Danio rerio: one gene and its partners. The protein of the gene in region 1 interacts with the protein of each later gene in a pairwise test. Links are inferred from orthologs where the notes say so. Each region holds a gene or a part of one and is shown in the gene's direction. Other genes may lie near its edges.

Region 1 (5,540 bases):
AATAACATTTTCATTAAAAAAAAATTAATTTGGGGTATCACGGTGGTGCAGTTGGTATTACAAAATGAATGAATGTTATTTAGTTATCTGACATGCAATCAGCATCATGACTTCTGTCATCAGTGTCACACGATGCTTTGGAAAAAACATTGTAACGCACATTTGATGCACCCAAAAAGCGTCATTTTATTATTATTATTGTTTTTATTATGTTTTGCGAAAAATGTGATACATTTTGTAATGTTATTCTGATTAATAAAATGTTCAAAAATAGCTTAAACATTTTACCCTAAACTTGGTTACAGACAATGCAAATAATGTGCTGATTATGACATTAAACAGAACACTGCACTGGTATTGAATCAATAATGTTTGCTATTGTTGGTTCCAGAATTTTTTTAACAAACCTAAACTGATAATACTACATTTGCATGTTCAAATTAAACCCTGCTTTACCGCTCTACTACTAAAAACTCAAAGATAACTGTTACTTTCCCTAGTGTGATTGCTCCTGGACTGTTCTGTACATCATTTAATATGATAAATCTGCTAATGGCAAGCAACCTGTAACACCTGCAGGTGTTGTGTGTGTGCTGTCTGTCTGTCACTGCAGCATTCTTTCATCCTGCTCATCCAGAAACAACAGCTTTATTGCAATGCTGTGTGTATGCTGGGACACCGCCAGACCAAACACACAGCGAGTCCAACACTCACCACATTTAAAAGCATGCATGTGCTGTGTGCGAAATGACCAAAAGCTACCCAGTAGATTAGGTTTCATTGGCTTTTATCCTGGTGACAGGTGAATGGAGTTTCAGTTTTACACTTCAGCCTCAAAAGATTCATTGCCCTTTTTAACTTTGACTATTTTGTTTGAGTTTGCCATTGTATGTGTAGGCATAGAAAATTAAACCTGATTATTTAAAGGGGTGGTCTTCATTTACTCACCCTTGATTGACCAAATCAGAGTTTATGGTGTTCTGTTGAACAGAAAATAAGATATTTTAAAGAATGTTGGAAATCTGTAACCATTGACCGCCATAGTAATTTAATTTCTTTTGTGGAAGTGAAAGGTTAAAGATTTCCAACATTTTTCAAAATATCTTCTTTTTTGTTTAGTGATTTGAAACATGTCAAGATTAGGTAAATGATGATGGAATTTTAATTTTTGAGAAACTATCTCTTTAAGATGCTCAGGTTTTGTACTTTCAGCTGTATCAAGATTATCTGTGTGTCCCAACAGAAGAGCATTTGCGGTTGCCGCCAACTCCTCCCAGCAGCCATGGCAGCGACAGTGATGGATCCCAGAGCCCACATTCACTGCCACCATTAAGCCCTGGCCACCTGCAGAGCCCACATTCACTGCCACCCTCCAGCCCTGCCCGGCTACAGGCCCGGACCTCCACTGCTATCTCCTCATCCCCTCTCCTCACCGCCCCGCACGTGAGTGCTAATCAATGCGGCACATGACACACCACACTATATACACATATATTCCTAATGGAAATTTGCATACAGTTACGTCTTAAGCAGTTCTATTTAAAGTGAAACTCTGTCTTGTGTTGAAATGCAGAAGCTGCAGGGAACATCAGGCCCTTTGATGCTGACAGAGGAAGAAAAGAGGACTTTGATCGCTGAGGGATATCCTGTCCCCAACAAACTACCGCTCACCAAAACCGAAGAGAAAGCACTCAAACGGGTGCGCAGGAAAATCAAAAATAAGGTATTGATAATGATTACATACTATTAATATTGAAATAACTTGGTTATTAAAACAAGTCTCTTATTATATAAGTTTTGTGCATATACAGTTGAAGTCAGAATTATTAGCCCCCCTGTTTATTTTTTTCTCCAATTTCTGTTTAGCGGAGAGAAGATTTTTTCAGCACATTTCTAAACGTAATAGTTTTAATAACTCTTATCTAATAACTGATTGATTTTATCTTTGCCATGATGACAGTAAATAATATTTGACTAAATATTTTTTAAGACAATTCTATACAGCTTAAAGTGACATTTAAAGGCCTAACTAGGTTAATTAGGTGAACTAGACAGGTTAGAGTAATTAGGCAAGTTATATATAACGATGGTTTGTTCTGTAGACTATCGAAAAAAATTTGCTTAATGGGGCTAGTAATTAAAATGGATTTAAAAAATTAAAACTGCTTTTATTTTAGCCGAAATAAAACAAATAAGAATTTCTCCAGAAGAAAAAATATTATCAGACATACTGTGAAAATTTCCTGTATATGGAAATAATTTATGGATCAAAGAAAAAAATCCTACAGTACTTTTGATGTTAATATGAAATTTTATTTGGTTAATATATACATATAATTGTATATAAAATATTGAACACATGAAGAAATAGAGGTGGAAAAAGGAATGGAAAGCCCAGATAGCAGATGAATTCTCTCAGTAGTTAGTAGAAAGTCTATTGAAGTGTGAAAATCACACCTGAAGAATGCAAAATTCTCCAAAGCTACCACTAACAAAAAAGCCTTTTATGCAAAATATTCAATATATTTCAGTAGTTCATTACTTTCTCCTTTTGCCATTCCATGTTTTTACACATAACACTTTTTAAAGATTTTTTTTTGCATTACTTGTATGTTTGGGTGTTTTTAACATTTTTTAAACCAAAATCTGGGTCAATTTCATGTGAACAGCTCCTTTAGAAATATAAACAGTGAGCATAAACAAGTACACCCCTCACAGATCTCTCTTATGAATCAATTTTTTTCTAAAATATTTTTCTGAAACTTGAACAATTCTAACAAAAAAACTTAAGATTAGTCAAAATATTGGTACACCCAAATTAATATGTTAGAAATATATATACAGTGCTTAGCATATATAAGTACATATTTATATTTTCTAGGAAGCTGTACAATATTATATTTATGCAAATACATTAGATTAGTCAGTACTGAAGCCAAATCTTGGTTATTCAGGGATGGGTTACGGCTGAACGGGCATCCGCTGTGTAAAAACTTGCTGGATAAGTTGGCGGTTCATTCCGTTGTGGCGACCCCGGATTAATAAAGGCTAAAAAAAAGCTGAAAAGAAAATTAATGAATGAATGAATTTTCAAAAACAGAAACAAATCAAGATAAACAAAAAATGTATGCAATTTTGTTAAAATGTTGTTAGTTTGTAATTTTTTTTTTATATTTTGCATGAATTTATTGTATCATCATTCCATTTTTAAAGATGTTTGGTGACTAAAGTATTATTTTAACAAATGTATCTGTTTAATAAATCTGTTTTGTTTAAATGCACCAATATTACCCATATTCACAGATAAATGGATAAAAATATTCATTTTCAAAATGGAGTGTATTCATTTATGCTAAGCACTGTAAATAATATACAGAATAATATACAATTAAATTATTATATAGCATTTTTTTCCCACTAATTTGATTTTAAATTTATTAACTTTCTATTCCTAAGGATATTCAGTTACCAACTCTTATTTTAATTGATATAACTGTTTGATGAAACTGCTATTAATTCCTTAAAATATATTGTCTACATTCACTGAGAACTGCATAAAAGTATATTTATTTTCATTTATGCTGAGCACTGTATACCAAGTAAAATCATGAGCTGTTCAATACTTACTCTAGCCACTGTATTAATATATGAATAATATATTTACGCTCATTATAATATTTTTTACATTCTTTTCTTAGATCTCTGCACAGGAAAGCCGCAGGAAGAAGAAGGAATATGTGGAGTGTTTGGAGAAGAAGTAATTCCACTCTATTATCTCTCTCTCTCTCTTAAATGCTTTGTTCTCTACCTCTTTTCTCTCTCTCTCCTGCATTCTGACTGCTGTCCTTTTCTCCTCTGCTCTTATTTTCCCTTCCTCTCTTTTGCTTTGTTTATCCAACAGCATCCACTCTCTCTGTGCCTTCATCCTTCGTTCTCTTCGATGACCTCCTCTCCTTTAATCCTCTCGTCATTCTCACCCCAGCATACCCTCAAAATGCGCTATACCCTTCTAGCTGTTTTATGGCTTTTATTGTGTGAATATGGCCAATGGCTACAGTCCATGCACTCATTGGTGTATGTGTGTGTGTGTTTGCGCGCGTTTGCATGAGTCATTTTCCCTTTTGTGCTGCTGTTAGGCTCTCAGGGTTTGGATAATGTGCTGGAGAGACTGGACTCACACTGGACACACTCACACACTGGCTTTTCTTGCTTATATGTGGTCATACTTATGGAAACGTTTTTGTAAATGCATCTCAATGTGACCGTGCGCAATAACACACTCTTTCTCTTTTACTCCTCTTCAGAGTGGAGAACTACACTTCAGAGAACAATGAACTCTGGAAGAAAGTTGAGACGCTTGAAAATGCCAACAGGTGAGGAAGCACATGTGTGCTCGTGTTTAATCACGGCGAATACTTTATAGGTGGATTTTAATACATTTAAGTGTGGCTGTATTTGCGGTAAGTGTGCGGGTCTTTGCAGTCAGCAGGTGTTGTTAAGTTGATCCAGATGCGTGCAGGTCTTAACCTCCCCTTCCGATCATATAGAGCAGCACCTTTTCATTCTCTCCTGGGTGGCCTGCTTAGAGTATTGGCGCTGTCGACAGGCTGCTGTCTGTTCCTACTGTTTAGAGAGACAGAAGAGAGGGCACCGTGGGGGATTGGGTGTTATCAAAGTCAGCACTTTTTTTGTGGATTAACTGTAGCTCATTGGAGGCGAAAGCTCTTAAGGGGTAGTTCATTTAAAATGAAAAACGAAAAATCTGGAGGAATTTTTCTTCTTTTTTGGAACATAAAATTATGCTTAGTTATGTTTTAGATTTGTTTTATCTGTAGAATGAAAGATTGGGTGTTTTCTGAAGCTTGCTGACTTTCATATGTGACCCTGGACCACAAAAGCAGTCTTAAGTTCCACTGTAAGAAATCTTATGTGCTATTTACTTTAAAATATAATGGTAACACTATTGCCCGTGTTATTTTTAAGTAGTATCAAGACTTGATTTTCTTTTAGCAAAAAATACTTAAATCATGTGAAAATTACTACATTTTTGAGTGATAGATGATGATTTTAATATTATTAGTAGAATTTGTAATATAAGCAAATCAATCACCACTTACTCATATTTATTAATGAAAATTACTTATTCATAAATTGTCAAATATATATTTTATAATGAGATACTTACAAAATGCAGTTTTGCCAAATATCGTTTTATTACATGTTCCACTGATAACAGCAATGTTAAGCTTTGAAAAAAGTTCTTTATCCATATGATGGAAAAAAATGTTTTGTCTGGCTTTTCCTTTGTAGGAAAAGTCACATCTTAGACAAAATCTGACAGAAATTGTGTATTGCTGTATCTCAAAATGTTAGCAACATAATCAATCAATCAGTCAATGCAGTGAAATTTCTCCACAAGGTTGTAGTAGGGAATTTTTGTCAGAAACTTAATGTAAGTTTGTTTTTGGGTCATTTTAATTTGCGTAATATTAGTATAAATCCAGTTCAGCAAATCTAGATTTTACAAGCCAGCCATGACT
Region 2 (4,240 bases), on another chromosome or scaffold:
AAGACCGGCGAGCTCACTAAGACTGACTCATTTGACATGTGGACTGGAGGTAAATCTCGTTTTGCATCCTTTATCTGTTTTCCTTTTGCACATTTTGCATTATAAGCTTTTTATTTTATTTATTTGTATTTTTTTTTAGCTTTTTTTGTTTAACCCTATAACTGTCAAATATCCTATAAGGTGACAGCATTTACACTATTAAAGTAACACAAACGTGTTTATGACTACCTGTGGTAGTGGTCAAAATTTGACATGATCAAAATGTGTCAGAGCCAATATAACATGTACTTGGAATAGTCCACCTGTGTTCGGATCAATGAAAATGCATTGTTATACCTTATAGGCTGTAAAAAAACATGGATGTGTGTGAAGAGCATTTTTGAACCGCCAAAGTGGGCAGAGCTAGCTGTCATCATCTTAGTAGCACATGAATTACTCCCAGATAATTAAAAATGGGACAAGATGCAGGACATTGGTGGAGTTAGAGATCCTAGGTTTAAATTCTTAATGTTTATTTACGTTATGTATAACTAATATTTACTGAGTTTGGTTTTTAAAAACACAATGTTAATACATTAAAACATGTTAAGTGTCATAATGGTTTTATAGAGAAAAACACCTTTTGAATAATTACTTTTAGATACTTTTAATATAGTCTGTATTAGTAAATAGGTTAGACTATTTATGAAATCAAAAAAGTCTGTGGTTTTATTATATGTTCTATCATTTATTTTGTTGCATCATGAAAAAGCTGCAATCTTGAATGTACATTTACTTTTTATTTAGCAATATTTTTATGTTGGACCGGTAATTATATGAATCTACAAAGTTTTGAGTAGATGTAAAAACAAAAAAAATGTATGCTTCTCTTGGTTTTTTCTGTTTATACAATTTTCATTTCATATTTTCACCCAACATATTAATTTGGGTGTACTAAATTTTGTGAGGGGTGTACTCATTTATGCTTTCTGGCATATGAGATGATAGCTTGTATAGTGATACTAGATTTTTTTCATATCACCCAGGGCTAGCCATTTGCTAGTCTGTGAAATGTAATATTAAGTCACATGCAGTTAATCTTTTTAAATGATCTTGTATTTTCTAGATGTAAATCTTCTCATCAAATTCTTGAAGGACATAGAAGATGGAAGCATTGTCATGATGGCCACATTTGACGACCCTGCAACAAAGTAAATTTTTTTTTTGGTGAAATCTTTACAGATCTGTCTGGGATCTTTTATTAAATGCATTTAATTTTAATTTGTTCTGAACAGGATGAATGACGAGGCCAGAAATTTGATAGCAGATTTGGGCAGTTCAAGCATCAGCATATTAGGCTTCCGAGATAACTGGGTGTTTGTTGGAGGCAAAGGAATCAAGACAAAGAGCCCCTTTGAGCAGGTAAAATCACCTTATGGCTTCTTTTTAGATTTAAATTTGGAGTAAAAAATATTTAATAAGCCATCGCATACTTTTCCAGCACATCAAGAACAATGCAGAGACTAACAAGTATGAAGGATGGCCAGAAGTTCTGGAGATGGAAGGATGCATTCCTATAAAGCATGACTGAAATCAACCTTATTTTAAAATAATTTAGCTGTTCCTGGTGGAGTTTGAAGAAAATTGAATGAGCAATGTGTTGTTGAATTGACATTTTCAATGATGCAAGTAAGTGTAGAATATAGACTTTGAAGGACTGTATCTTATATCTTAAGGTTAGAAGTCCTGAGCATTTGCTGCTCTCTATTTATATTTATTTTATGGGGTTCCCACTCCTTTTGATCAATGCATTTCTATTACTTTTCTGTTGTACATGATCCCTAGATTGAGATTTTTTTAATTAATTGCAAGTACAATATGTAGCCAGTGAAATATTTTAAAACTTAAATATAAAAAATTACGTTAACCAAAGCTATTTTAGTAACTTCAAAAATTGTTGTTTTTCCACCAATGGAAAACATTTCTAAAATGTCATGCTTGCGGAAAACCTGATTCATAGGTACTCTTTATTTTTAAAGCTGGTCCATAAACTGCCATTGTGCTGCCATTTGTGAACCTCCAGTGTCATAAAAAGAGATATAGGAATCAGAAGGTTTGAGTGCCTGTTGTCTTATAGTCTTTTGTACTACAAATAGAGAATTAAGGAAGAGGGTTTGTGCTCATTTTAATCATAGCACCATGACAATGTTGATCAGAATGGATTGAAGATACACGGCTTAGAGCTGTTGTTACCAAAAGATTGTTTTTACATTATTTATTATTTTATGTTTATCATACTGTTTCTACTGGCAAAGACAGTTTGAATGTTGAATGGTAGAGAATGAAGATTTTTTTTCCCCCACTTTGCATTTAATTTACAAGATTTTTTTTGTACTAAAAAACTACTGTCTTCAGTTTTTATAATAATTTTATTTTTAATAGCTTCAGGGAGTCTTGTTACATTTTGGTGATTTGCATTCAGAGATTTTTCGTTTGTCGTTTTATTCGGCCAAATTTTTTTTTTTTTTTTTTTTTTGCATTTTAAGAGTTTGAGCAGCAGCTGTTATATGCAGTTAGTGCTGATATTACACTATTATAATTTAATATAATCTTTTTTTTATTGTGCTTTATGCAATATCTGTAGTATGTCCTGTATTGTGAATTTACAAAGCCAAAAGATCACCTTGTTGTTAATATTGTTAATGATTGCCTGTATGATTTTTAACTTTACTTACACTGTGAAGTTGTGCATGATACATTTTTTTTGTAAGAAAACCAGCTGTGTGCCTTACTACAGTGATAATATATGCAAAGTGATTTTGTCTAGACTTTTGTGTGGAGTTGTTGATTGCACGTCATGGCCTTAATATGTATAGCTGTACTGAGGAGTTCTTTATTATAAATTAAATTTAAATCAAGTAAACTTTGCATTCTGTGATTGTAGAGTCTTTCCTTAAAATACGACTCAAGCTTTTTAGGGTGTTTCGTAATAAAACAAATGACTTGCTTTCATTTCTGGGTTTTGTCTTACCTTTTGTTTAGATTAAAGCAGAGAACTCCCAAGAATAATCCTAGCATCTGTTCTGCCTCATCAAAGCATGATGCACACATCCAAAATGGTACATGTGTTTATAAAAGAGTTTGCAGATTCCTGGAAGGCGTCCACTCGGCTCTCATTGGCCTAGGAAAAGTCCAGAGAAGGTTTCAAAGCACACAGCCGTGCAAGAAAAAGATTAATTTAGCTGACAGCTGAACTGATAAAGCTCATTTCACTCAATAACAGATTTATTCCATTCTGAAAATATCAAAATATATAGGTACTGATGTAGGCAACAACATAATGTACAGACACAGTCTATACAAATGTCAACGTGTTATTAGTTTAGATTTACTTTTATGCCATCAGTGAATACCATTTATTCTGACTAGTCACATGGGAAAATTATATCCATTCTTAATTTTGACTAAATTGAAGTGCTCTGAAACATGGCAATTTATATATCCTGCAGCATGTGTCCTCGTTTACCTATTCAAATCCAGCATCATTATAATGGCATGTGGATATATAGCCACTATTAAGAAGTGCATGAAACGAAGTGCCGTTTTATCCCTTATGAAAATCAACAATGGTTTTTACCACAAATTAAAACAAACAAAAACATGGTGACAACAAATTCAGCAGTTTAACCATGGCATTTTAGTCAAACTGTTTATAGAAATATTGATAAATACGCACAGGAAAAAAACACTACACTTTTAATAAAAACGATGGTTAATTTTCATAAGGGATTTCAGAGGGAGAAACATTTTGGAGCTGTAACGTTAAAAGTTTCAGGTTTGACTCTGTTTGTTCCTTTAATAATTTTAAGATGACAAAAAGCAAACATTTGTTATGCCACACAAAAACGTTGATATCCGTTATCGTCGACTACTGTAACGTTATATCACCTTGCGCAACGTACGTTATTGTGCTACTCAAGTAATCCACTGTCTGACATAATTATGTTGGCTTTAAACATGATACTCATTACACTTCAATGACATACTGTATCGAGTTTAAATTATCTTTACCTGAATTTCGCAAATATAACGTTGTAATAACGGACACAAGATGGCGCCAGCCAGGTGTGTTACTTTAATAAGTGCCTCCGGTTTCGATTGAACGTGCTTATGTACACCGCTGCTAAATGGAAACTGAGATTGGCCAATCAGAATCAAGTATTTCAGGTCGGCCTGAATTACGCGCTTATGTCGCTGATAT
Region 3 (6,100 bases), on another chromosome or scaffold:
GATAGGGTGAGGAGCTCTGACACCCGGGAGGAGCTCGGAGTAGAGCCGCTGCTCCTCCACATCGAGAGAAGTCAGCTGAGGTGGCTCGGGCATCTGTTTCAGATGCCTCCTGGACGCCTACCTAGGGAGGTGTTCCAGGCATGTCCCACCAGGAGGAGGCCTCGGGGAAGACCCAGGAAACTCTGGAGAGACTATGTCTCCCGGCTAGCCTGAGAACGCCTCGGGATCCCCCCGGAGGAGCTGAAGGAAGTATCTGGGGAGAGGGAAGTCTGGGGTTCTCTCCTAAGACTACTGCCCCCGCGACCTGGCCCTGGAAAAGCGGCAGAAAATGAATGAATGATTCAACTTACATTAATCTGAAGGAAGACGCCAAGATTGGTACAATGTTTTCATCAAGAAGCGGACTTATTCAGCAACAATACTAGGCGCGATTAGTATTTTTGGAAGCTGTCAGTGAACATAATCTGAGTAGTAGATATACAGCATCCCTTCTGAGACTCAACTTGACCATGGAAAGTAAGGAATACTTTTCCTACTTTTTTCTTAAACTCTGTAGTCCTGGCGAGGCATTGCATGTAGCGAGTCATAGAGTTTAAAAAAAAAAATCAGGCATAGCAGAGCTTTCAGCAGCAATTTCCCTCTATCACTTTTTGAGCTCCTGCAGAAGACAAAAGTTTCTATTGAAGAGGGGTCTGGATGCAGACCTAGTGCAGATGCAATGTGAGGTGCAGGAAGTGCTTTTTAATGGGCTCACCTTATAACCACCCCTCACAGTGACGTCACTAGCTCCATTGACTGATGCAATCTCAGCTTGCATCATAAAGTCTGCATGTTATTGACACTGTTTGGCACATCAACATTAATGTCAAGGCTCTTCTCCATCTCCTTGATGAAGGTGTTAAACACCTATACTAGTTTCAGTGGGCCAGTTTTTTTTTTAGATTTAGAGGGTCCCAGATCTAAACAAAAAAAATCCCAATCTTCAACATTTATGTAAAGAGAATACTTTTAGGTGTAATAACACCACATGGGGTCTCAGTCGCTTCAGACCATGGAAGGCTGGAGCTTTGGCTGGTAGAGGCCACTGTATAGAGTAATTCTGGGAGGGACGACGTGAAAATGAAGCTGGTCATGGAGGTGCCAGTAAGACATTTGGGGTCATGATGCGTCCTTAAAAAAAAACATAAAAACATTATGTTTTTACACATAGAAAGTCTTAAAATAACATTTAAACATATCATGTAATGCTAAGAAACAAATGAAAATGTAATAAACTTAAGAAATAAGTGTTACTAAGTGTTATCAAAAAATCTTAAGCAGGAAATACTCTTCTCCTATGATTCAGGTAATACATTGTGAATCTGCCACTACAGTATGTTGACACACATGCATTAAGCTCCACATCCTTTTGAAAAGAGCCCAATCTCTTTTGAATTTAAAGCAACAGTCACCAAAATGACCAAATTTGGTTCAAAGTCTATAGGGGGCAGTTTCTAAAAGTTAAAAAAAAAAACTTATTTTAGAATTATTTTATTTATTATTATTTTAATTATTAAATTATGCATATATTTTCCATTTTGTAAAAAGAAGCACAATAGGTCCCCTTTAATTGACAGTTTCAGCTATAGTTTGATTCCAAATGCTGTATCATCTTAAAACAATTATTCACTGAATATTTCAATTCATAAATACATTGCAATCTAAAATGTAAAAAGTATGAATAAAATGAAAATGTAATGTAAAATATAAAGTAGTAAAATATAAAAAAGGATAAAAAAAATAATTAATGTAATACAGCTTTTCCCCAAAAGGTTTATTTTTGTTTACTACTTAATTTATGAACAAAATAATGCTTACATCTTTACACAATCACTAAAATGTCATTCATTATAAGTAGTTTCCATAGTTTAAAAATATTGTCTGACATATTTCAAAGAATAATCAAAATTAATTAATAATAAGTGCAGATTGCAGCCCCATTTTATATCTTCATTATTTGCCACTATCCTAATTTTAGCCAATTTTATTCATTAAACACTTATTATTTTGATACTGCTGAACAAAAACGTTCTCTTCCCTCACTGAATAACATGTCACTAATATTTTACTCTTATTGCACTAGTTGGGGACAGTCTGTACATTATATGATACCTGAAATAAATACAGGGTTTTTCTACAGAAGCTGTCAGTTGAATGTTAGCCTACAGAGGGAGTCATCTTCATAGTGTGCTTCATATTGTGCATAGTGTACGTTTCCTTATGCTCATTATCTAACTGTAAAAGATACAAAAATCCTTCATGCATAACCCAAAAGAAATGTTAACAAACATTTATATCTTTAGTGTTCTGGTTGTGATCATGTTGGCAGCTCTTTATTGCCTGCTGTTACATCTGACACATATCTCAGCTCATTTATAGTGGTGAAAAATATCACCTGATCCATCGCTGCGCCGCGCTGATCGTCTTGAACACAAATTACTACAGTACAGTACAGTACAGTACTATGCTGAGTGATCGTTTCACAACACGAGGAAGCGGCAGATGTTTACGCTCCTCTCCTTATTGGCCAGAGAGTCCGAGCATTGTTTCTACAGCAGCACAGAGCTACACGCCCACTGGCTGTTACACAAACTTATATCAGGATTTCAAGATCACTCCGGTCATAGAAGGCTGTCCAAACCGGTCTCTTCTTCACATCGAGCAGCTTCACGACTCTCCAGTTGAGGTAAAAAAGATTACGCTGTGAAAAAATCGATTAATTTGAATTATCTGACTGGCCAGGCGTAGTATTTGTAAACAAAACGCCACCAGCTGTCTGTCGCGCGCGTTAAGTAATGTAACGATAAGCGCGTGACTAACATTTGCGACCAATTCATGCAGTTTAATATCCCTTGCACGAAATATAAAATGTCTGTATTGGGTTATATGTAACATTTCTCGTCAAGCTCTACACATGTACTCAGGTTTCGTTTACATTTACACGTTTTGGGTCCATGCGCAGAATCGCTCCCACTTGAGGGACAAACTGAACTGGCTGTCAACCAAAAGTTTTTCATGTTTGCTAAAAGTTCATTCAAGATAATTTAAGATAAAGCATTTCGAATTGGATTGTGAGCAGTAGTTTGGTAGTTTTTGTGCTATTTGTATTTCTATTTTAAATGATTGTTTTATTTTAAGTTCATTGTTTTGTAGTTCATTTATATTGGACTTTTTGTTCATCACGGTTTTTATTATTTTAATTACAAATATTAATCTATTTTTATTTATTTTAAATATTATTTTAAAAAAGACAATTTTATTGTTTTTAATTTTCAGTTTTTTGTGCCATTTTAGGGTTGTTGTCTTTTTTGTTATTTTTTATTATTTTAATGAGGCAATATTTATAATGGCTGTTTTTTGTTTAATTATGTTCATTTATTTATTGATTGATTTCAGTTTTAATTTTAGTTTTGGTTATTATAGATTTAGGTCAAACTAAATAAAAATGTCCTCGGAAATAATCTGCAATAGAATCTCCCAATTAATGTACACTGTAAAAAAATGCAGGGTTACACACAATTATTTCATATTGTCCCAGCACAAATTAAGTTAAATTAACACATTTAAAAAATTTATTTGGATTGAACATAAATAAATTAAGTTGTCCCAATGAAATAGTGTTGTTTTAGCTTATTATAATTAAGTAGTTTGAACGAGCAAAAATATATATTTTTTGAGTGTATGATCGCATTTATTGTTAATAAGTAGAAGTGAGTTGTACTTATTATTGTGCTGCAAATGAAATGAACCCTCAGCTACTGTTGGCCTCCTTGCTGGGTAGATAAGCTGTCAGACTTAAAAGTTACATGGAGAAGGAGGTGCAGAGCAACCATTCCAAACCAGTTACAGTTGAAGTCAGAATTATTAGCTCCTTATTGAATTTTCTTTTCTTTTTTAAATATTTCTCAAATTATGTTTAAAAGAGCAAGGAAATTTTCACAGTATGTCTGATAATATTTTTTCTTCTGGAGAAAGTCTTATTTATTTTATTTCGGCTAGAATAAAGGCAGTTTTTTAATTTTTTAAAACCCATTTAAAGGTCAAATTAGCCCCCTTTAAGCTACTTTGTTTTCGATAGTGTAAAGAACAGACCATCATTATACAATAACTTGCCTAATTACCCTAACCTGCCTAGTTAACCTAATTAACCTAGTTAAGCCTTCCAATGTCCCTTTAAGCTGTATAGAAGTGGGTTGAAAAATATCAAGCAAAATATTATGTACTCTCATCATGGCAAAAATAAAATAAATCAGTTATTAGATATGAGTTATCAAAACTAATATGTTTAGAAATTTGTTGAAAAAATCTCTGTTAAACAGAAATTAGGGAAAAAAATAAATAGGGGGACTTCAACTGTATATAATATACATACACAGGCAGTTGCTCAGAATCCTTAATTTACCTGTTTGTATTGAAAGGATGTGGATTCCTATGCTGAGCCTGACTGCCCTCCCTCACGTTGGTGGGATATTTGGAGGTATAATCACACGGCGGGAGGTTAAGACCTGGTACTCCACGCTCAATAAACCCTCATGGAGACCACCGAATGCTGCCTTCCCAGTGGTGTGGACCACCCTTTACACTGGCATGGGGTACGTTCAAACAGTAGGCATTCACTCTGCATGCTACACTTTAGAAACTTTAAAGGAAGTTGTAGATAAGTTAATAACTGACTAGTTACTGCAGATTAAGTAAACAGTTTTCCATCTTTTTTTAAAGGTACGGCTCATACCTTGTGTGGAAAGAGCTTGGAGGCTTCACCCAGGATGCAATGGTGCCATTGGGGCTTTATGGGCTGCAGTTGGCACTTAACTGGGCCTGGACCCCCATCTTCTTCGGTGCACACAAAATTCAACTGGTGAGACATTATTCTGAGACTCTGAAATTGTATTATAAAATGCTGCATTCCACACAATTACTTCATGTTGTCCCAACACAAATTAATTAATTTTTATATATATGTGGATTGTATGTGGATTGAACAATAAACAAATCAGTGTCCTAAAACAAACATAAGAATTGTGTTAACAGCAAAAACAATCCCAAGGCACTCGAAAAAATGTGGACAAAGTATTAAAGAGCCTTGATTATCATGTCTATTCTTTAAAACTGTACCTATGTGTTTCAGCAAACTCCTGCCATCATCAGAGTGGCAAGTGTTTGCTGAAAGGTGTAGGCGCAGTTTTAAGGAATAGCCATGTCAATATAGGCTCTTTAATACTTTGTCCACATTTTTCGAGTGCCTTGAACTTACTTTTGCTGTTTATCTTGGTGAATCCCTTATTCAAAGAGCACCAACACAATAATTAAGCTACCCCTGAGCACTTTTTGTTTGATTTTGGCTAAGAATGGTGTTGTTTCAACTTATTTTATCTTAAAAAAGTACTTTGAACTAGCAACAAAAGTCCATTTTTTCAGTGTATTTCAAGTTAAAATATGGAGCAACTTTTTAAAAGTTAAACCAGGAACCTGTTTCTCCACATATAGTACTAATGAGATCTTATCAGACTCAAAAAAGGAGGGAATATTATGCAGTTTTTAACATGACAATGGTATTTTGGAAGCCTGAAAATGCAAAAAATGTGTGTTCAAAGTGCACTTTATTTCATCGCTGCAAACTACTAGTGATTTTGTGAATATGCTGACATCATGTGGGTGTGTACTACGTGTTCAATCTTGCACATGTACTATAAAAAGCTGTCCGAAATCACAAATGTTCACGACTGTTCAAAAAGTATGTTATATATAGTATAAATGCGAGAACAGTGGAATTCAGATGTACTACATCCACAATTTATCAATACTTCTTGAGTACTGTTTTTTTAAATACTATGAATTTGGACACACTATGTTGGCTCACATGCTGTTTTTCACATACTATATAGTAGGGAAGTGTGCAACTTCAGATGCACCCGTAGTGTTTCTTTTAGGAGTGACATCATAAACTAGTGGCCTGCAATGCTCATTACGATTTTGTGTTGACAGGGAATCTTTTGACTATAGAGAGTCAAAGCTTTTCAAAAAAGCATTCATCTTTCAGGTACATTGTCATGGTAAAAAT
Region 4 (6,044 bases), on another chromosome or scaffold:
CAGGAACTGGAAGGCTAGTCAGAATAGAGGGAAAGATGAATGCAGCAATGTACAGAGACACCCTGAATAAAAACCTGCTTCAGAGTGCTCTTGACCTCAGACTGGGGTGACGGATCATCTTCCAGCAGGACAATGACCCAAAGCACACCTCCGAAATATCAATGGAGTGGCTTCACAACAACTCAGTAAATGTCCTTGAGTGGCCCAGCCAGAGCACAGACCTAAATCCTATTGAACAACCCTGGAGAGATCTAAAAATGGCTGTACACTGTCACTTCCCATCCAACCTGATAGAGCTTGAGAGGAACTGATAAGAGGAATGGGCAAACATTTGTGCAAGACAAGTGTGCAAAGCTTGTGGCATCCTATCAAAAAGACTTGAGGCTGTAATTGCTGCCAAAGGTGCATCAACAAAGTATTGAGCTAAGGCTGTGAATACTCCTGTACATGTGATTTTTCAGGTTTTTTATTTTTCATAAATTTGCAACAATTTCAAAAAGTCTTTTGTCACATTGTCATTATGGGGTATTGTGTGGAGAATTTTGAGGAAATAAATGAATTTAATCCATTTTGGAATAAGGCTGTAACATAAAAAAATGTAGAATAGCGCTATGAATACGTTCCGAATGAACTGTATATTGAATATGTTCCAACAATCAATGCATGCTTTATGCTCTCTAAAGATAATTTAAGTGGACAAACCATTTAGCTTGTCATGTATTTCCATGCAGACTTTATGTCAGGAGCTTCAGAATCATGTAGAAATAATTGTAAGTGGCCTGAAACTGTCAGTCAAACAGAATCGACTTTTATTTAGTACACTGGCAAGATGCTGTTTATTCTTTATTGACAAGCAGATTCAGCTTATACTGAACCATGCAGCTAAACAATTGTACTTTTTATGCTCTATTTGTAGAAGCAATAATATTTTAGTGATTCATTATTGCACAGCTGTGGTGCAGTTGTTAATATGGGAGTCATCAAAAATGTGATCCGTCTAACCCAGCTAGTTAGTTAAAAACGGTGGTGTGGTGACATCGCGTGGACACTCACGGTAGTAAAATAAACGAAGTCAACACAGGATTTTGAATTTAGTGTCAGTGCACTTCTTGTTTGAGAAGTCTCTTTTCTCGGCTTCCTACACTTTTTGCGTCAGCTAACAAGATCAAGCAATGTATCAGATGTATTTTACTTTAATCTTCATTAACAACGTTCACTTAAGTTACTTGCTCCACGGTGTCATTTCATCTGAGATGTTAGTGTCCGGTAGACTAAAGATAGATGTTCAACATGTTTGGAAAAAAACGGTAATGTCAGATAATTGCTAAGGCTAATCTTATAGCCAGCAGATGTACGATGTATCGTTTAACGTTCACAATAGACAATATTTCCACACTTGTTTTTTAATGTTTTGTCAAATCAAAATCTAAATATTTTGAAAACCCTTACCTGAATTTTAGTTTTCATCAGTGACATCTCATTCTCCACATTCATTTTTATGCTAACATGGTTGCTGTCTAGTCGATATATTTCGAAAAAACTTTATTTATGAAGTTAGCAAAATATTTCCAAATGGTTGACGATGATATAAACATTAAAATAGATTATTTTAGACGTTCGGAATTTTAGTAACATTTTGTTTGGCGTTTAATCGGAATATTTAATGGCTATTGTTGTTATTTTTATTCTTGTTTGTTGCTAGATCAGATACGGTTGCGGCTGGAAGATGAATATAATTATTTATATTGTTTATTAAATTTCCCATTGATTGTATTGCATTATTGCCTTCTATCACACTGGCATTATTTTGTTCTATTATCTTGTATCTGTCGTTTAAAGCATAACAAATGAATAACAATAATAAATACATGCCCTAATTAATATTCATACTGTTAGCCAATCCCTGATAAAAAAATATTTCTAAAAAAAAACTTCTTTCCTTCTGTTGCATAGCCAATCAGCGAGCCCCACCTTGTATACGTAATTAATATTAATAAGGCAAGCGCCTTACGTTTGTTTTGCGTCATGACGCCTGAGTAACCCGGAAACACACGCGGATGTTGTAGAACATATATTGCAGGCATTTAGATGAAAAAAGCGTCTGAATTCATGGCGTAGAAAAGGTATTTAATAATCCCAAATCAGCGGACAGTTTCTAAATTCCTTAGAAAAATGTTAAGAGTACGGTAGGTGTGTTTAAGAGTTTATCCACGCATTATAATTACGAATATTTGAGGCTTAAAGTCAAGTTCCATTTAAAAATCATTAATGTTTTTAAAGCGTTATTATTAAACCCATCATTTATGGGCGCAATACATACAGTATATGAGGTGTTGATAATTACAATGTGTCTTTTTTTCAGAAGTCAAGCTGACAGTCGCTCATGATGAGTCCAGAAGTGAGTTTATCCAACTGTCATGTGTCACGTGATGGTGTATGATCACTTTTTATAAAACATTACTTTTATTTAAAATATTTTGAAATTTTTAGCCGTTATATTTTCTTATATGTAATAATTTTGCTAATTTTGTGTTTTTGCAGATGAACCATTAATTTCACTGCACCAAAAGCTGTAGGAGGATGTTGATCTAGGATTTCTTCTGATTCCTCCACTCACCTTCAGACAGATTTGTGCCCATCATGTTTGTGACGGCATACCTAGCATTTATAGTCCTAGCAGGACTGTGTGTGGCTTTAGAGATCACAGCCCGGCGTCTCACCTTATCCCAGGCCACACAGACAGCAGTCGCCAATCCGGCTTTCCAGCGTTTCCAGAAGCTCTTTCTGAAGGCGTATCTCCTGGCTCTCTGGGCAGACTGGCTACAAGGGCCTTACCTTTACAAACTATACCGACATTACAACTTCTTGGAGTCACAGATTGCCATCCTATACGTCTGCGGTCTGGCTTCTTGTGTGCTGTTTGCCCCGGTGGCCGGATGGCTGCCACAGTTTCTCGGCCGAAGACAGACGTGCCTCCTCTTCTGCTTGGCTTATTCAGTGTGTTGCATCACCAAACTCTCACAAGACTATTTTATGCTCATTCTAGGACGTGTATTAGGCGGCCTGTCCACTTCTCTGCTAACAACCACCTTTGAGGCCTGGTATGTGCACGGTCACGTTGACATTCATGACTTCCCCAAAGAATGGATCCCTGTTACGTTTGGTAAAGTCGCCAATTGGAATTATGGACTTGCAGTTGGTGCTGGACTAGTGGCGAATTTGTTCGCAGAATGGCTTGGGTTGGGACCGGTCGCTCCATTTCTGTTGGCTATCCCGAGCCTTGCTGCTTGCGCCTGGTTTGTGCTTTCCGAATGGGGTCAGGAGGACAAACAAGAAGGCATGAATGGAGACAAAAACGCCCCCCTTCTTAACTCCCTAAACACCCCCAAGTTGCAATTGTCAGCACGTGCCCGTTTCTGGCGTAGCTGTGTGGATGGCCTTCGATGCCTGCTCTCGGACCGCCGTGTTATGCTTTTAGGAGGCGTTCAGGCACTTTTTGAAAGCGTGCTGTATATTTTTGTATTCCTGTGGACTCCTGTTTTGGATCCTCATGGCCCACCTTTAGGAATCGTATTCTCCAGTTTGATGGCGGCCACCATGGCGGGCTCCACACTTTTCCGATTGGCCACATCAGCCCCGTATCGACTCCAACCCGGTCATCTGCTCTGCCTAGCCATTCTTCTAGCGTTCTTCTCCTTCTTCATGCTGACGTTCTCCACCGTGCCTGGCCAGCCCCGGCCCAGGGAATCTCTGCTCGCTTTCCTTTTGCTGGAACTGGCTTGTGGGCTTTATTTCCCAGCGGTGAGTTTCCTCCAGGGTCGTGTGGTTCCCGTGGAGCGCAGAGCTGCAGTTTTGGCTTGGTTTCGTTTGCCTCTGCACCTCCTGGCCTGTCTGGGGCTGCTGGCGCTTCACGGGGAGGTTTCAGGGTCCGGTGCGGGAGAGGCTGGCAGCGGCACCAGGCACATGTTTGCAGGCTGTGCTGGGATGATGCTGGCTGCTCTGCTCGCCGTGATCAGCCTTTTCACTGTGGGCAGGAATGATGCCGACCTGAGATTAGAGGGCCCCAAACTGGAAGGAGAAATCTGAGTTGGACAGTGGATTATATATGGACTGTTGAAGTGAATCTATTCAATAGGATAGATCAGTGTTTCCCAACCCTGTTCCTGAAGGCACACCAAGACATTTTCAACCTCTTCCTATTCAAACACACCTGAATCAACTCATCAGAACATTAGAAGAAAACCTGAAATGAATGGGTCAGATAAGGCAGACAGCCAAAATATGAACTGTTGGGTTGCTTCCAGGAACAGGGTTGGGAAACACTGGGATAGACCTTTGAGATGAAACATCTCATTTTCAACGGCGTCCCTATGAAGTACATAAAAGAAAAAAGAAAAAAAGGAGTACAATACATCAAAACAAACAGAGATTGTGGAATGTGGTTTTATATACTTTGTTTCTTTCCTCATGCATTCTGTCTTGGTTAAACAATTGTATTTATGGGTAAATGCGAATGTTAATAGAACCAATAAACTCAAAATCGGATGTATTTCTAAAATGTGTTTAGGAATTAAATTGGGGCGCGATATGTTCAACAAGTCAGTGAGCCGGTGAGGGATCACAAACACACATCATGAAATACGTAGGGTTTTTTTTTTAATCCATACGGCATGCGGTATAAAATTCCATTAAAACTACACTCTTCCAGCAGTTCATACTCTCATCCAATATCTTGTTTTGACTTGGGGGGCATGCATGAAATGCTCCTGAATGAAAGTAAAAAAGTGGCAAACTGCAGTTAAAGTCGACAAATTAAAAATAAAACACTTGAGATTACATGAAACTCCAGAGGAAATGTTGGATAGTGAAGCAATGACATAAATCAAACTGTGCTATAACATGTAAAACAGAATCATGAAAGGAACATTCAAAACACAACTCATGTAAACACCTTAATCATTGTATTATCCTAGTTAGATTAAGACAAATAATTTGATTACTGATGCCCATGTAAACATTTATTTTAACACCAAGCCGATACCCTGGAGTAGATTCCCTATACAGTATGTATTGAACTGTGGCTACTGTTTGAGCTACAATTAAAGCACAGTGTGATTATTAAAACAATAGGCTATGCATTAGTAATAAATGCAATAAGACAGTTTTTTCATCCATCTCATGCTGCACACAGACCATACGGACAGGTTAAGGTAAGCATTTTCATTTATTGAAATAGATGGCAACTGAACAAATTAAGGCTCATGAACAAACATCTTAGAAAGCACTGTAAATAAATGCATATTTGAAAAATATAAAAATAAAAATTACAAAATAAATCTGTTGTGAAGTCTAATGACCACAGACATCAGTGTAACATTTCTCAATGTGTTCAGTTCATTTCCAGTCATTCCATTTTAGAGTAGGGGGTCTCCACTTATCACAGCTCGTAACAAACATTCCCAATGAGTGGATTTCTATATGGAATTTGAGAGAGAGAGGCCTTCGGATGTCAATCTCTTATGCTATAAAATACATTTTTGTTATAGTATTGAAAACGACTAACAGCAGTACATAAAATAAACGCATCTGCACAGTTGTATATGGCTTGTGTGAGGTGGTATAGAACTCATAAGTTACATATTTAAGTAATATCCTCAACATTAATGGTGCATCACAGTTTTTGTTAAGTCAAATTTAGCTTTTCTTTAGCAAAACCTATAAAGTGAGGAAAGAAAAAAACAATCACTGTCTTTGGTTATAAAACCATTGCATTAAAGAGTGGCATGCAAAGAAAGAAAGTTGTAATGGGCATTTGATTTTTTAGTAGTTTGTCTTTATTCCAAATGTCCCAGTATCTCTTACACCCACAACTGGTGCTTCACATTTCTATCTCAAACCCGTTTGAAGAAATTAATTTTGCTCATGTGGTGGCTCAGCAGACTTACAAGGACATGTACTAGTGATAATTAAAAGTTTATTAATATAATAAAGAAAATGCTCAGGTTGGCAGTCTTTCATGAGGAACACATTTTGTTCCCTTTAGT

What was found.
Region 2: the proteins of creb3l1 (region 1) and fam3c interact in binary tests that used the Homo sapiens proteins (3 or more experiments, as listed by UniProt). The two-hybrid records come from large-scale screens. The link is inferred for Danio rerio from reciprocal best matches to the Homo sapiens genes CREB3L1 and FAM3C.
Region 3: the proteins of creb3l1 (region 1) and tspo interact in binary tests that used the Homo sapiens proteins (3 or more experiments, as listed by UniProt). The two-hybrid records come from large-scale screens. The link is inferred for Danio rerio from reciprocal best matches to the Homo sapiens genes CREB3L1 and TSPO.
Region 4: the proteins of creb3l1 (region 1) and mfsd5 interact in binary tests that used the Homo sapiens proteins (3 or more experiments, as listed by UniProt). The two-hybrid records come from large-scale screens. The link is inferred for Danio rerio from reciprocal best matches to the Homo sapiens genes CREB3L1 and SLC61A1.

The regions. Positions count from the first base shown.
Region 1 is NC_133182.1:39,150,632-39,156,171, forward strand, and holds part of creb3l1 (cyclic AMP-responsive element-binding protein 3-like protein 1), read left to right. Parts: intron 1-1,243; coding exon 1,244-1,352; coding exon of another isoform or gene 1,353-1,421; coding exon 1,422-1,443; intron 1,444-1,573; coding exon 1,574-1,723; intron 1,724-3,698; coding exon 3,699-3,757; intron 3,758-4,304; coding exon 4,305-4,373; intron 4,374-5,540.
Region 2 is NC_133179.1:20,695,206-20,699,445, reverse strand, and holds the end of fam3c (protein FAM3C precursor), read left to right. Parts: coding exon 1-49; intron 50-1,105; coding exon 1,106-1,190; intron 1,191-1,274; coding exon 1,275-1,401; intron 1,402-1,480; coding exon 1,481-1,570; 3' UTR 1,571-2,991; downstream 2,992-4,240. UniProt on the Homo sapiens protein: May be involved in retinal laminar formation. Promotes epithelial to mesenchymal transition.
Region 3 is NC_133181.1:43,135,532-43,141,631, reverse strand, and holds the start of tspo (translocator protein), read left to right. Parts: upstream 1-2,587; 5' UTR 2,588-2,725; exon of another isoform or gene 2,726-3,226; intron 3,227-4,457; 5' UTR 4,458-4,458; coding exon 4,459-4,631; intron 4,632-4,758; coding exon 4,759-4,897; intron 4,898-6,100. UniProt on the Homo sapiens protein: Can bind protoporphyrin IX and may play a role in the transport of porphyrins and heme. Promotes the transport of cholesterol across mitochondrial membranes and may play a role in lipid metabolism, but its precise physiological role is controversial.
Region 4 is NC_133198.1:38,887,156-38,893,199, reverse strand, and holds mfsd5 (molybdate-anion transporter), read left to right. Parts: upstream 1-2,065; 5' UTR 2,066-2,123; exon of another isoform or gene 2,124-2,186; intron 2,187-2,362; 5' UTR 2,363-2,434; intron 2,435-2,541; 5' UTR 2,542-2,640; coding exon 2,641-4,086; 3' UTR 4,087-5,336; downstream 5,337-6,044. UniProt on the Homo sapiens protein: Mediates high-affinity intracellular uptake of the rare oligo-element molybdenum.